Caenorhabditis elegans: one gene and its partner. The protein of the gene in region 1 purifies or fractionates together with the protein of each later gene. This does not show direct contact. Each region holds a gene or a part of one and is shown on either strand. Other genes may lie near its edges. The genes, in order: R09H10.5 and T16G12.1.

Evidence for each region.
Region 2: the proteins of R09H10.5 (region 1) and T16G12.1 fractionate together in Caenorhabditis elegans (co-fractionation; one large-scale study listed by BioGRID). This does not show direct contact.

What each region holds. Positions count from the first base shown.
Region 1 is NC_003282.8:10,622,626-10,630,513, reverse strand, and holds the start of R09H10.5 (EGF-like domain-containing protein), read left to right. Parts: upstream 1-1,684; 5' UTR 1,685-1,699; coding exon 1,700-1,751; intron 1,752-2,066; coding exon 2,067-2,185; intron 2,186-2,235; coding exon 2,236-2,288; intron 2,289-2,755; coding exon 2,756-2,889; intron 2,890-3,079; coding exon 3,080-3,224; intron 3,225-3,270; coding exon 3,271-3,347; intron 3,348-3,401; coding exon 3,402-3,593; intron 3,594-3,636; coding exon 3,637-3,769; intron 3,770-3,840; coding exon 3,841-3,979; intron 3,980-4,020; coding exon 4,021-4,152; intron 4,153-4,199; coding exon 4,200-4,347; intron 4,348-4,393; coding exon 4,394-4,458; intron 4,459-4,509; coding exon 4,510-4,924; intron 4,925-4,969; coding exon 4,970-5,176; intron 5,177-5,227; coding exon 5,228-5,654; intron 5,655-5,829; coding exon 5,830-6,010; intron 6,011-6,056; coding exon 6,057-6,195; intron 6,196-6,239; coding exon 6,240-7,348; intron 7,349-7,439; coding exon 7,440-7,559; intron 7,560-7,603; and 3 more. Other genes in the region: F56C4.4 (Activin_recp domain-containing protein), read left to right, coding at 909-1,037.
Region 2 is NC_003281.10:10,046,775-10,052,001, reverse strand, and holds the start of T16G12.1 (Putative aminopeptidase-2), read left to right. Parts: upstream 1-2,144; 5' UTR 2,145-2,258; coding exon 2,259-2,361; intron 2,362-2,664; coding exon 2,665-2,767; intron 2,768-3,143; coding exon 3,144-3,259; intron 3,260-3,314; coding exon 3,315-3,464; intron 3,465-3,513; coding exon 3,514-3,676; intron 3,677-4,107; coding exon 4,108-4,186; exon of another isoform or gene 4,187-4,256; coding exon 4,257-4,336; intron 4,337-4,387; coding exon 4,388-4,715; intron 4,716-4,766; coding exon 4,767-4,949; intron 4,950-5,178; coding exon 5,179-5,227. UniProt on the Caenorhabditis elegans protein: Putative aminopeptidase which plays a role in oocyte maturation.

The DNA of each region.
Region 1 (7,888 bases):
CATGAAAAGGTTCAGAGTAACAGGATTTTCTGATTTATGCACATTTTCTTTGTATCTTTGCAGAATTTTCATTTACTTATTTTTTTTAGCAAAATAGCAAAATTAAATTTACGAGCTACACTCTACTTTGTTAAAAAATTGTTTTAGGATATTTGAATAACAATCCTGGTGATATAAATTTTCCAGTAACATGTGAAAACACTTTTTCAAGCATATAATTTGTAATCTGATCAGAAAAAATATTTTCTAGACCACCGTGATATTCACGTGCACATACACCACGAAGAAAGCTTGTTTGTGTTCCATTGAATAATTATGAAATAATTCGCAAAACAATTATTGCGTGCAACCTTCTATTAGTGCATTTTGTTTGATTTAACGTGCCAGGTACTCGGGGCAGCCTTATCAAATCTATTTCCAGCAAAACTTTCATCATTTCCAGCTGACTTCATTAAAATTACCACTTCCGAAAGTTGTAAGAACTTTTGATAGGGTTTCAAAAGACTTATGTGACGCATTTTTCAATACTGGTAGATTAGGCAAAGTAGTAAAGGGGATTGGCTATTAGAGTCTTTGAGCACAGATCACAAGTAGGTTACGCACTGAGGCTACACGTGTCAAACTAGATTTAAACTCAATAAAAGGGGGTTCTTGAACAAAATTCAAATGAATTGATTTTGCTTCTACTTTTACAGTTTTTTAAATATTTGTTATCTTCTGAACAATCTCCATTTCTGATCTGTAAGATCAAAGGATTTATCTATTTTGCAAAAAAAAAATTACATATTCGCCGAACTTTGAGCTTGTATAATACAGAAAACAAAACTGTTTCCTTATGAATTTTTTGAACCATGTTAAATTAATTGACTAAAGTTCAGTAGAGAAATAAGATTATTTTTATTTTTCAGGGTGATCGAGTTTCCACAAACATCGGAGTGACAACGAGATGCTGTTCGGAAAACATGTGTAACGATGTTGGAATTGAGAAAAGGACCAAGAAAGATTCAAGTGCAGGGAAACAAAAAATTGAACATTAAATTCAATGAGCGTTTTTTAAGTTGAAAACAAAGTTCGAAAACCGTATTTCTTCTATTAGTATGGCTGTGACTAATTCTCAAAGGGGCAAACTTCAGGACTGCAATGGCAAATATCAATATTAATATCAAGATTTTCCTGTGTTTCCGATTACTACTTTTCATTTACTTACTGTTAAAATTTCAAGTAGAATCAAAAATTTCAAGATTCAAAAAAAAAGATGATAATTGCTACAAGAAATAACAATAATTCCAATTTTTATCATTCGTGAGGTGGTTTTCTGACAAAAAAAATGAAGGCAGAGAAAAATACATACAGATTGACTGAAAATCAAAAATTCCGGAATCCGGATCTTTGGCAATCCGTAAATCAAAATGCAATGTAATCAATAATGCATTTTTCAAATATCCAACTTTCGTTTTATTTCTCCAAAAAAATTTAATAATAAGAATTGAATACACATTCGATAGCGCCCCATTTAATTTATGATTGTACTTTATATTTTTGAGGACCCAAATAACCAATAAAAGTTTCAAAATGAATAAATTCATTGATAAGCTAATGGGCGAGTACAGGCTAATAAAAACTGCAGTTTCCGATAAGCGATGCATGCCATCGAGTTGCCGATTTTGACTTCAGTTCGGTCGTCAGAGACCAAACCAAAATGGCGCCTGCTACAAAGGCCATTGGATTGCTACTGGTTATTATAGGATTGGGTAATTTTTTTAATGTTTTTCAGTTTAAAAAATACCGTATTTTTCTTATTAACGTTGAATTTTCGTTTCCCCATTTGACAGCTCCTTGTTCAAATTTGGTTCTGATTTAAAAAAAAATTAAATTTATGTTGAATCGGTTCCAATGTAGAAAGTGAATTATAAAAATAAATAAATAAAGAGTTATAATAACTGTAATTTTTATCCAAGTATTCCAAACAAATTAATTTTTCATAGACAAAGTTTGTCTGAATTTCAAATTTCAAAACGCAGAAACTTATTTATTGGTTTTCAAAAAAATTTGATCACCATTTACAGCCGCTGGTGTTCAATATGAAATTCGTGGTAACATTGATCTCATCAACAGTTACGATATCCATCCGGACTATTACAATGAAAAATCATTCACGGAAAAGTTGAACAAAGTTTCGGAACGGGTGAGTGACGGTGCATTACACGAATTTATTTTTCAAAAAATTATTTTCAGTTTTCACAAGTTGTTGGACCAGATTTCAAAGAGTTTTTTGTTCATGATTACAAGTGAGTACTGGAAATATTTAAAGAAGATGTATTCTGAATGAGGGAATTGCTGAAAAGTTTAGTTGAAGAAATTTACAATTTCTTTTGATTCTATAGCATCTTTTGGAACTGGAACTTTTTTATTTTTAATTTCACCATTTCATATATCTTTATTCAAATACAAATATGAAAAATACAGAAAATTTCGAAGAAGTTGTTTTATTAATTAACTTGAAGTAGTTTATAAACTGAAACAAATTTAGTTTTTGCAATATTTTGTTCAAATATAACATTTTATTGAGAAAATTTAAAATATTAAAATAAATCTGATACATTGAAAATTTCTTTATTTACATTTTGGTCCATTTTTCACACATTTCTATACACACACAATAATAAGATAATGTTTCCACAGTTATAATTTAAAAACAAGCAACTCATTTCCCTCTACCGATCAAAAAATTTCAAAAAATCATTCATAAATCCAGAATTCACGGTCAAGACACCGCAGTCTTCCATGCTCGTCTAACACTTGTCTCATCTCTAACAGTTTCCCGACAAGACATCATTGACCAAATCGTGGCGACGGACGACGTGCAAATATATTTCTTGCGAAAAAATGGTATGGTTGAACTCTATCATTGTGCCCCGTTTGTTCATTAATCAAATTCCGCCTTTCATCAATGTTAATTTTATCTACACTTGGTGGTGGAAACTGTAAAATATGTATTCTTCAAAGCGCAAGGTCGTAAATTTTGTGTTGCGTCAGAATGTGCAGTACACTTATTATTAACACCTAACATCAATTTCAGAATTTGAAGTACAAGGGGACAGTGTTTCGAGATTCAGAGTAGTTCGTGCTGACGTGAGCAATTGCTTGCATGGAGGTATTTTATTGCCAAATGCTACCTGTTCTTGCTTACCATACTATTCTGGAGCTAACTGTGAAGTGGTGACGTATGTTTTTATATTTGAATGTTTTAAATATAAATTTTATTTTCAGTTGCCGCAACAATGGTATTGGATCAAGTGGAAGATGTTCATGTCCTCCTGGATTGTATTCTGCTCATTGTGAAGCAAGTATGCTTTCAAAATCAATTTAAAAAATCAATTTCTGAAAATCAAAGTTTTCAGGAACTTGTGTCACCAAGATTGACTCCGTCGTTGACTTCTCGTCTCAGTCACTCATTATTGCTATCAACACTAGAACATCGATGGCATACGATTTGAGCATGATCATTGAAAATATTCCAACATTGGTGACGGATTACCAAAGTCAAGGAGTCATTCTTTCGAGCTTCATCGTCACCGTCTACAGATATACAAGTTAGTTTTAAACATAGTTTTGGTTGAAAACTTCAAATCTCAGAATCCGTATACTTCATGGAAACGAGTGCCTTCACAACATCCGATGCTATGATTGATTACCTTCACAGTGTGACCATTGCTCCATCATCTGATGATCAACCTCTTCTTGACGCTATTGCTAACTCTCAATCCACGTGGGTTTTAGATATTTTCAATAACTGGAGATCTTCAATCAACTTAAATGATATAAAATAAATGTTTTCAGCCAGCCAACAATGAGACCAAAATCAACTGTTTATGTTTTTGCTGATTCTGAGAACTTATTGGATCCAACTCCCTCAACGCTTCTCAGTAGCACAAATGAAAGCATGGTCATCCAGCAGACTCTTGCCTGGAGAAATAAGGTCATTTAAAGCTACAAACTCGTATACTTTTTCCATTTCAGATTATCTTTGTTCTCTCCCAAACGACATCAAGCCCAATTGAGCCAACTGGAAACCACTTCGATGTGCTCCGCAGAGTCGCTACGGCTGCTCATGGAGACATTTTGATGATTGATAAAACGGAAATTGTCGAAGTGAGATCATTTCTTATAACTCTAGATCAAAGTTACTCAATTCTCAGGTTCTCACTCATCTTCTTTTCTACACAATTGGTGGACAGAATACATATGTGCAATACTACAATAATGTTGCCAAAAATATTCCAGTGCAGTCGGATACACCAACACAAACAACATATATTATGATGACAGTTGAGAATGGAGAATCACGTTAGTCAAAAAATGGAATCTGCAAAATTGATGTTTTTTTTTTCAGTTCCAAATATTCAAGACACCAATGGTAACACATTGAAGCCCACATCCTCTGGACGAAGATTTGCTGTGAGCCTGAGTTAAACTATCACCTATCACATAATAAAAATAGGTTTTCAGGTTTATCGTGTATTCCAAAGTTCAACCACATCAGTTACCATCACAGGAGACACAATTCCACTTCATAATACTCGTGTGTGGTTCACTTCAATGGACGATGTTCTTGTGTCATACTCTGAAGATGATACTGTTGATAACAATTATGCTCACACATTCAATGGATATTATCAACGGCCATCTCTATATTCTTCGTTTGCTACAACTACAAGTCTCTCAGTTTCAACCGCTAATTCTGTCACTTCCGGTGTGATTTCTGCTGCTGTTACAGCGACAGCAAAAGCAACATCATGCATCTTCCAGTACCAAATCGCAAATGCTACTTCGTGTACTCCAGGTCCATATGTTCATAATGTGGTTGTGTCTGCTTCCGATGGAAACAAGTACCGTGCAGTTCCAGGATATTGCTTCACGCCAGGTATGTAGTCTATTTCATTTTTCCGATCAAATACGACATTTTTAGATTCCCACATGGCCGCTCCGTGGTCATGTCTCAACAACGGAACCCGCTCCGGAATAAGCACTTGCTCATGCACAGCCAACTGGGGTGGACTTCACTGTGAAGTTCCAAAATGTGTGAATGGAGGATCACCTGACAAGTTCCCCAACGGTGGTGGTCATGGAAACTGCATTTGTCCATTTGGTGTTTCTGGAAGTTTCTGTGAAATTTGTAAGTTTTTCAGTCTTCTCTGAAATCAGATTCATACCTTCACTTTTTTAGTGACATGCAGCACCACATCCCCCGACACCTTCCAATCTTACAATCGGTCATTTGCTGTTGTTGTTCAAAACTCTTTATCTGCTAATCAAGCTCTTGTGCGGCTTAATGATGGTCTCCGTGCAATGCTCAATCAAGGACAGTCTAATGATTTTGAAGATTTTGTGCTTACGACATTCAAGGCTAGAACAGTCAACGGAGCATCATTCCCAGATGTATCGTCGTCCAAGTTCAGCTCAGCATCTGCTTTCCTTAACGCTACCAACGACATTGGAATCGGATATTCATATTCTCCAAGTGGACCTCAGCCAGGACTATTCGCCTTGGAAACTACAATGAGATCAATGGATTTTGATAAATCCTCAATTTTCTTCTTCACTGATTCTGCGTCTTCGGTGGTGGAAGCTTCGATGAACTTCTCCGATATTGTGTAAGTTAAGAGTATTAAAAAGTTGTTGTTTGTGAATTTTTATATGTATAAGAATGGTACCATATTTTTTTCCGTCAACCTAGATTTCGATTTTTATCAGTTAATATTATTTAGAATACTTTATCTTTCTTCAAATTGTTTGTAATGTCCGTATCTTCGATCAACTGAATTTCAGTCAAACCGCAGTGGAACGTCAAATTGAAATCTCTGTAGTCATCATTCCACCATATGGATCCACTGACTTCTGTACCGACATTGGAACATATGAGATTTATGAAATCCTTGCACAACAGACTGGTGGAAACTTTATCAATTTCTGTCAACCGTATACTACAAACGGAGATCCTGTGTTCAATGTACGTTTGGAAGATTTAAATGTAAAATAAATTCTCTGAAATTCAGTTCATTGCTTCGTATGGAAGCACTCATCATCACACAGAGGTTGTTGCTTACTATAATGTTATGGATTGTTCGCTTTTTGCATCCCGTTCGTTTTATATTTCAAGCGCCACAAATGATGCATATGTTGTCGTTTATTCTCGTAAGTTGATCAAAACCAATTACGATTCATGCGAAAATTTTCAGCTACGATTCAAAACTTTACTGCTTCCGTTACTAATAATGGTGTATCGCAGTCGTTGGTTGCTGATTCACATTCAGTGCCATTCTTTGCCAGTTATCAAATTAAAATCAGTGCTGGATCTTCGTTGCAATATGTCCTCCAACTTTCCTCTAATACCAAGGCACAGTGCTTTGTCAGAATCACCGAGCGCAGTCAATTCTCCGCTTACCTTGGATTCTCTCCTGATCCATCATTTGATCGTTTCAGTAGAGATCTGACTTATGCAACTCATCAACAGCCAGTCATTCATCTTTCTTCAACTCTTCAATCTGATCCATCAATTGATGTCACTAGTTATGATAACAACAATAACATTGCTTTTACTTCATTGTTCACTAAACGTACATCTGGATGCAAGTATGAATACATCATGAATCAAGAATACACTTGCCAAAGTGCTGGAGATACATTCACAATGGAAACTACCATTACGACAAATGAAGTGACAATCATGAGAACTCAAAGAGCTTACTGTAGTGATTTGATTGGATGTATCAATGGAGGAATCATGTTGGGTGGAAATTGTCAATGTGTCAATGGATACACGAGTCTTCACTGTGAAGTACCAACATGTCAAAATGGTGGTTCGGTAGTAGACTTTAAGTGTCAATGTCCTTCTATATATGATGGAGATTCTTGTCAATACACAACCTGTAACACATGGAACTTTGTAGAGACTCATGATCCAAGAGAGTATAACTTCCAGCAAATTGTTTTTGTCGTCGAAATCAACACCAAGAATATGATCCTGCCAAATTCGTATCTTTTGAAGAATATCCAAGCATTTGTGGATTCTACTGATGACGTAAATGTTCCAAAGCAATACACTCTTGTGACCTTCGATGACACTAACATCAAAGTTGTTGCATCTTCCACGCGAAAAGATGTTTTCTTGGCAGCCTTCCAAAAAGGTATCACTGTTTCAGTGAATAGTCCCACCAAAGTTAGAGGATTGGAAGCTATTAACACTGCATATGCAACACTTGTCGATCTTCCTGGAATTGTTTATGTGTTTACTGCAACCAATTCAGCAAGCAATCTCGATGCAGTCAGACAACGTTATGGTGTTCAGGTGAAATTTTGAATATATTATCCTTTTTTTGAAATTTTTGTCGCTCTAAAGATTGAAAATGAATACTTAAAACTTCTGAATTTACTTACAGGTCAACATGATTTGGATGGGAGCTGATCTCACACCTGTAAACGTAAACTATTATTATGCAGCCATTGCAAGACAATCAAATGGACGAGTCCTTCCAGTCAGCCCACTTCAAACTCAACAGGTTATTTAATCAAAAGGCTTCGTTTTTCCAAGCAAGTATTTCAGATTCTGAGCGCTCTTACTCCAACTGTCAATGAGAATCAATTGATTCTCGATGATGCCGCCAAGGATTGCAGTGCTGGAGTGAACTTCCAGTTCCCAGTCGGAAGTTTGGCTACGACACTTACACTTGTAGCGACTGGAACTGGCGTTTCAGTTACTGTCACAGATGAAAAATGTAAATTTATTTTGTATTATTTTCCCAGTACTTGGACAACAAGTGCATCTTTTGATTTTCAGCCAACAACGTCGATTTGACCAACTCCACTACCTTCACCGATGTGAACACCT
Region 2 (5,227 bases), on another chromosome or scaffold:
ACGTAAAAAATCGACGGAAAATGTTTAGATTTAATAAAAAATCATTAAAATGCAAAAAGAAATGCGAAAAATATTCGAAAATCGACGAAAATCATGACGAAAGATTTTGGGATTCGATTTCGAAATTGCGAGTGTGCGGTTGCGCGTCGCGGTGTACACAGAATCTGTGCATACACCGTTGCGTACCGTACTCCTCGAAGAATCTTAATTCCAACTGTTGAAGGTTTTGAGAGGTGATTCAGTGGATTTTGTGATGGAATCGTTGGAAAAAAGATAAATTTGCGGAGATATCGAGGGAAAATTGAATTTTCAGATCATTTTTATCGAAATTTTGTGCAAAAACGAAGATTTTGGAGGAAATCTCTGCTGAAAAGAGATAAATCGACGAGGATGGACCCGCCACGCGGTTTTCTTGAGAAAACAAGTCCTTTGAACACGAAAATGACGACAAAAATGCGATAAATCGCAATTTGACTTCAGCTAATCCTAGAAATTGCATCATCTGTCGACATAAAATTATCTAAACGCGGAAGGGAGGGCCGAGCAGAGACATTGAGCCTAGATTTCAGATTTTGACTGAATTTTTAGCACATTTTATGACGAAGCAAAGGGAATTGAGCTGAAAACGACGAAAAATGGGTAGTTTCATCGAGATTCTTCAGAGAAGGATGCTCCGGGGGGAGATTCTCTTCAGAATCGAGTTTACGCAAGATTACGCAAGATTTTTTGACCAATTTTAGCTATTTTAACGCGGAAAACTCGTGATTGAGAGCGATAAAAGGCTAATGATACCAGTTGCGAGTGTGATAATCGAATTGGAATCAAGATTACACGTAGAAAATCCAGATTCGTGTGTGAAAAAACGAAAATGAATTGGAGGACGACAAATATTCGAAATTCGAGCGGGAGAGTCGAAATTTTTTCGAAAATTGACAAATAAAACCAGATTTTGAGCATGATAGAGTCAAAATTTAGCTTTTTATGACTGTAAAGATCCATTTTCGAATGGGATAGTCGAAAATGAACCTAGAAAAGGCGATAATTGAAAGAAATCGACTTACCTCTGACCGCTGGAAGCCGCGCCACGTGCCTCCCTGACTCTGGATCCGTTTCCGGCTCGGAACTTAGTGATTCACGAGCCGGTTAGGTCGATGCACCAATGTTGACACCCGCAGTCGCTGGGGAGTCAGACCCAACGGGTGAGAACGGCGAAATGTGTGTTCGCGCGGAGGACACGGAGCTTGAACGAACGGCGGATGACGATGAGCGGTGCAGAGGGAATAACAGTACACTTTTAGATAAATCCAAGTTTATTATTGAATAAATAAATGGAATTATCAACGGGAACAAACGGATGACGTGGGGACGGGTGGCATCCGTGGTGAAACGTGTGAAGACTGAATGAGTTGGCCTAAAAAGGCATCTGAATATTTGTGTGGATTTACGGGAGTACGACGCTCCGCAATAACGCGAGTGTGCGGGGGGGGGGGGCGCACTTGCATTAGGAAATACGCAAATGGCGGTAATTCAAATAATAATATTTAATTAATTAAAGAATGGAATGTTTCTGAGTGAACGAATGGAACAGAGAGTGAGCGACTCATGCGGATGGTGATTGTGGGTTCGTGGGTGAACCTGACCAAGCGCCTATATCCGCAAAGTTGGGACGGACGGGCTCTGCGGAGCCCAAGTGACAACATTTATGGGGTTTTTGAACTACTATAAAATATCTTTTAAAAAAATGCCCACTGATATTTTTCCATCATTCACTAAATTTTTAACATGAAGTAATTATAAAAAATTGATGACTTAGCACTTGAACCAGTCATCAGTGAGACTAAAAGTCATTACTATCTTTTGATTACTAGAAACTCTGGAAGGAGAACCAAAAAATCACATCATAAACCATAAATTGGATTTAAATCGGTTTTGCGGTATTTGCGAACATTTGTTTTTAAAAACTGTAATCTTCATTAAATGCTCTAGAGATTCTCCAGCATCACTACCGATTCCCCAATTAGCGGACTCTGTCCCGAACTGACATTTTGGGAATTAGTATTAAAAGTGTGTCAAAAGTGATAAAATTGATAATTAGGTTTGTCATCTCGTTGTGATGTCACATCCCAGAAACCGATAAGGAAAGTACAGTGGCTGCTGCGTGCTCCGGAATAGGGAGAGCAAACTCAAAATTTCAAAGATAAAATCGCGAGAGGATTGTATAATCTACTCTTTTCATTTCGTGTGCTGCCGACTACGAAATGCGGCGGAAACTGCTTCTCTTACTTTGTTTTATTGGGCTCTTTAGCTTGATCTCCACTGCTCCTGCACCGAATAATGTTGGTTTGGAATCTGAATTCACAGGTTTGTCTACTTTTTAATAATGACGCTAGACTGCACATTCCCCCATAATTTGAAAAATTGATACTATATGTGCTTACAAAAAGTTAAACTAGGTGCGAATTTCCCTTGTGAATTTTGAATTTCTATGTGAAGCTGAGAATGTCCCACTCAACAAGCTACTTGATCTCCAAAATTGAAAGTAATCTAACGTGAAAATGTGAGAATTTTGGCATTTTTTATTGCCACTATGGCTCACTGAGCCGTTAAAGCTAAGCTTGTTACAAAATAGACTAGAAGGAACAATATAGTAATTTCTCATTTCAGAGGGACATGCTGAAACTATAAATTTGGAAGAAGTCGAATTCAATCATCCATCAATCTTGCCGGAACACCCAGATAATTTTAGACAGGATAAACTTGCAGCCAGGTTATTTCTTTTTTAGTTCAAAATCAAAATATTTAAAATCAAGTTCTTAAATTTACAGTATTTTAATTTTGGTGAAAAGTGCAAAAATTATTGAACATATAATTACACTACTCTTTGCCTCATTTGAGTTTGGAATCGTAATTTTTTTACTACGACGTAAAATGGTTTTGGCAAAAAAAGTTGTTATAGAACAAAAATCACTCGAAACATTGTTTTCAAATGTTCAATTTTATTGCAAAAATTGATAAGAAAAGTTTCGTAAAGATGCCGTATCTTGCATGTGACAGCTATCAACTATTCTGAAATTTTTATTCTAGAACTCATTGTGCTCTGAAAACATAATCATTACAAAAAATAATGAAAAATGAATTTCCAGAAAACGCCAAAGCCTTTATGTAACAAAAACACGTCTCCCACCAAATCTGTATGCCATTGACTATAGTCTATGGTTCCAACCATACTTCCCAAGCCCTGGAGTTCAATATGCACCAGGTACTAAACTTTTTATTACTTTTTCGAATGATGCAAGTTAACATCAGTATTACAGAGAAAAACTTCACATTCGACGGAAGAGCATCGATACAAGTGGAAGCATTGGTCGCATCGGACAGATTCATTCTGAATGCCTATAACTTTAAAATTCAAAGCTACAAAGTGGTTGATATCGATGGAACTGTAGTGCCAATCAACTCAATTTGTAAGGAATTGAACGTATATTGATAAAAAATACAAGAAAAGATTTATAGCACAAGATGACACTACGCAACAGTTATCACTGATTACAAATGCAAATGGTGTGGTCGCTGGTCAAATTTACAACATCGAATTTGTCTACACCGGTATTATCAATCCATACACGGATGGAGGGGTTTACTACACTTCATATAATGATCCACAAGGAAATACACAGTAAGGGGAAACAATGTAGAAAAGTGGTGGCGAAATTCTGTAACTTTGTGCAAGTAAACTCTCCAGAAAACATACAATTTATTGTTAGATTAAGAGTATATCGGTTAAGGGAGCGACCTCTGCTTTTTAAAAACTCGAAATTGGAAAATAAAATTCTAATTAAGAGTACCGTACTTTGACAGATTGATTATTATGTAGTCGATTTGCCGAAATTTTTGAAGCTCTTTTTTTATCGCTCATCACTTGTTAAATGTTTTGGGCAACATAATTGTCGAATTGCCAAGGTAGGCATAAAACAACATTTTTGGGGCCTGCCACCTACGTGTCTATAAAAAACACTGAGCCCAGCCAGTGCTGATATACTTCAAGAAACGATAGCTGAAGTCAATATTTTCACACTGATTTCTTGATTCGACTCAACCTCTTTTTAGCTACATGATTGCTACACATATGGAACCGTTCTCCGCTAGAAAAGTCTTCCCATCTCTTGACGAACCATCTTACAAAGCGGTAAGTGTTACAGAATAATCTTAGACAAAACAACTAAAATTAATGAAAAATTATTCTGTGACACTTTCAGAAATTCACAATCACTGTGCAATACCCAGCTTCCCAAGTTGCTCTTTCAAATATGATGGAAACAGAACCTACAAAAATTGAGTATGATTATCAAACAATTATTTTTAAAGACTTTATTTAAATTTTTTGCAGTAATATATGGAGCACAATTACATTCCCACAAACACCAAAAATGTCTTCATATCTCATTGCATTTGCAGTGGGGCCTTATGTGAATTCTCAATATGTCAATAAGCATAACACTTTGACAAGAGCATGGGGATGGCCTGGAACTGAACAATATCTTCAGTTCGCTGCTCAAAATGCTGGAGAATGCTTGTACCAATTAGGAGAGTATACTGGAATTAAATTCCCACTCTCAAAGGCTGACCAACTCGGAATGCCTGAATTCTTGGCAGGTGCTATGGAGAACTGGGGATTGATAATCTACAAATACCAATATATTGCGTATAATCCAACGGTATTTCTATTGAAAAAATGTAGAAAATGAAATGGAAAAATGGGATTTTAGACAATGACGACGAGAAATATGGAAGCAGCTGCTAAAGTTATGTGTCATGAATTGGCTCATCAATGGTTTGGAGATCTTGTGACAACTGCGTGGTGGGATGATTTGTTCTTGAATGAAGGATTCGCTGATTATTTTATGACTTTTATACAAAAATCTGTCTACCCACAGCAAGCAACTTATTTGGTAAGTTTTTGGGATTCAATCCTAGATTCAGTTTCATTTTAGACTGTTGGCTCATATTTGACACCAACAAGATTTTACATTAATTTTTCAAAATAAATTTTAAAACTGACAGAGAAATCTGCTTATCGTAAATCTCCACAAGCGTATATCTAAAATTAGAAAAATTTTAAATAACTTTTACAAATTGATAATCTGTTCCTCTTCAAATGCAAAGTTTATTCGATTTCAGGACACTCTTCAAGTGCTTGACGAGCTTCAAGTTGGGCTCACCGCAGACG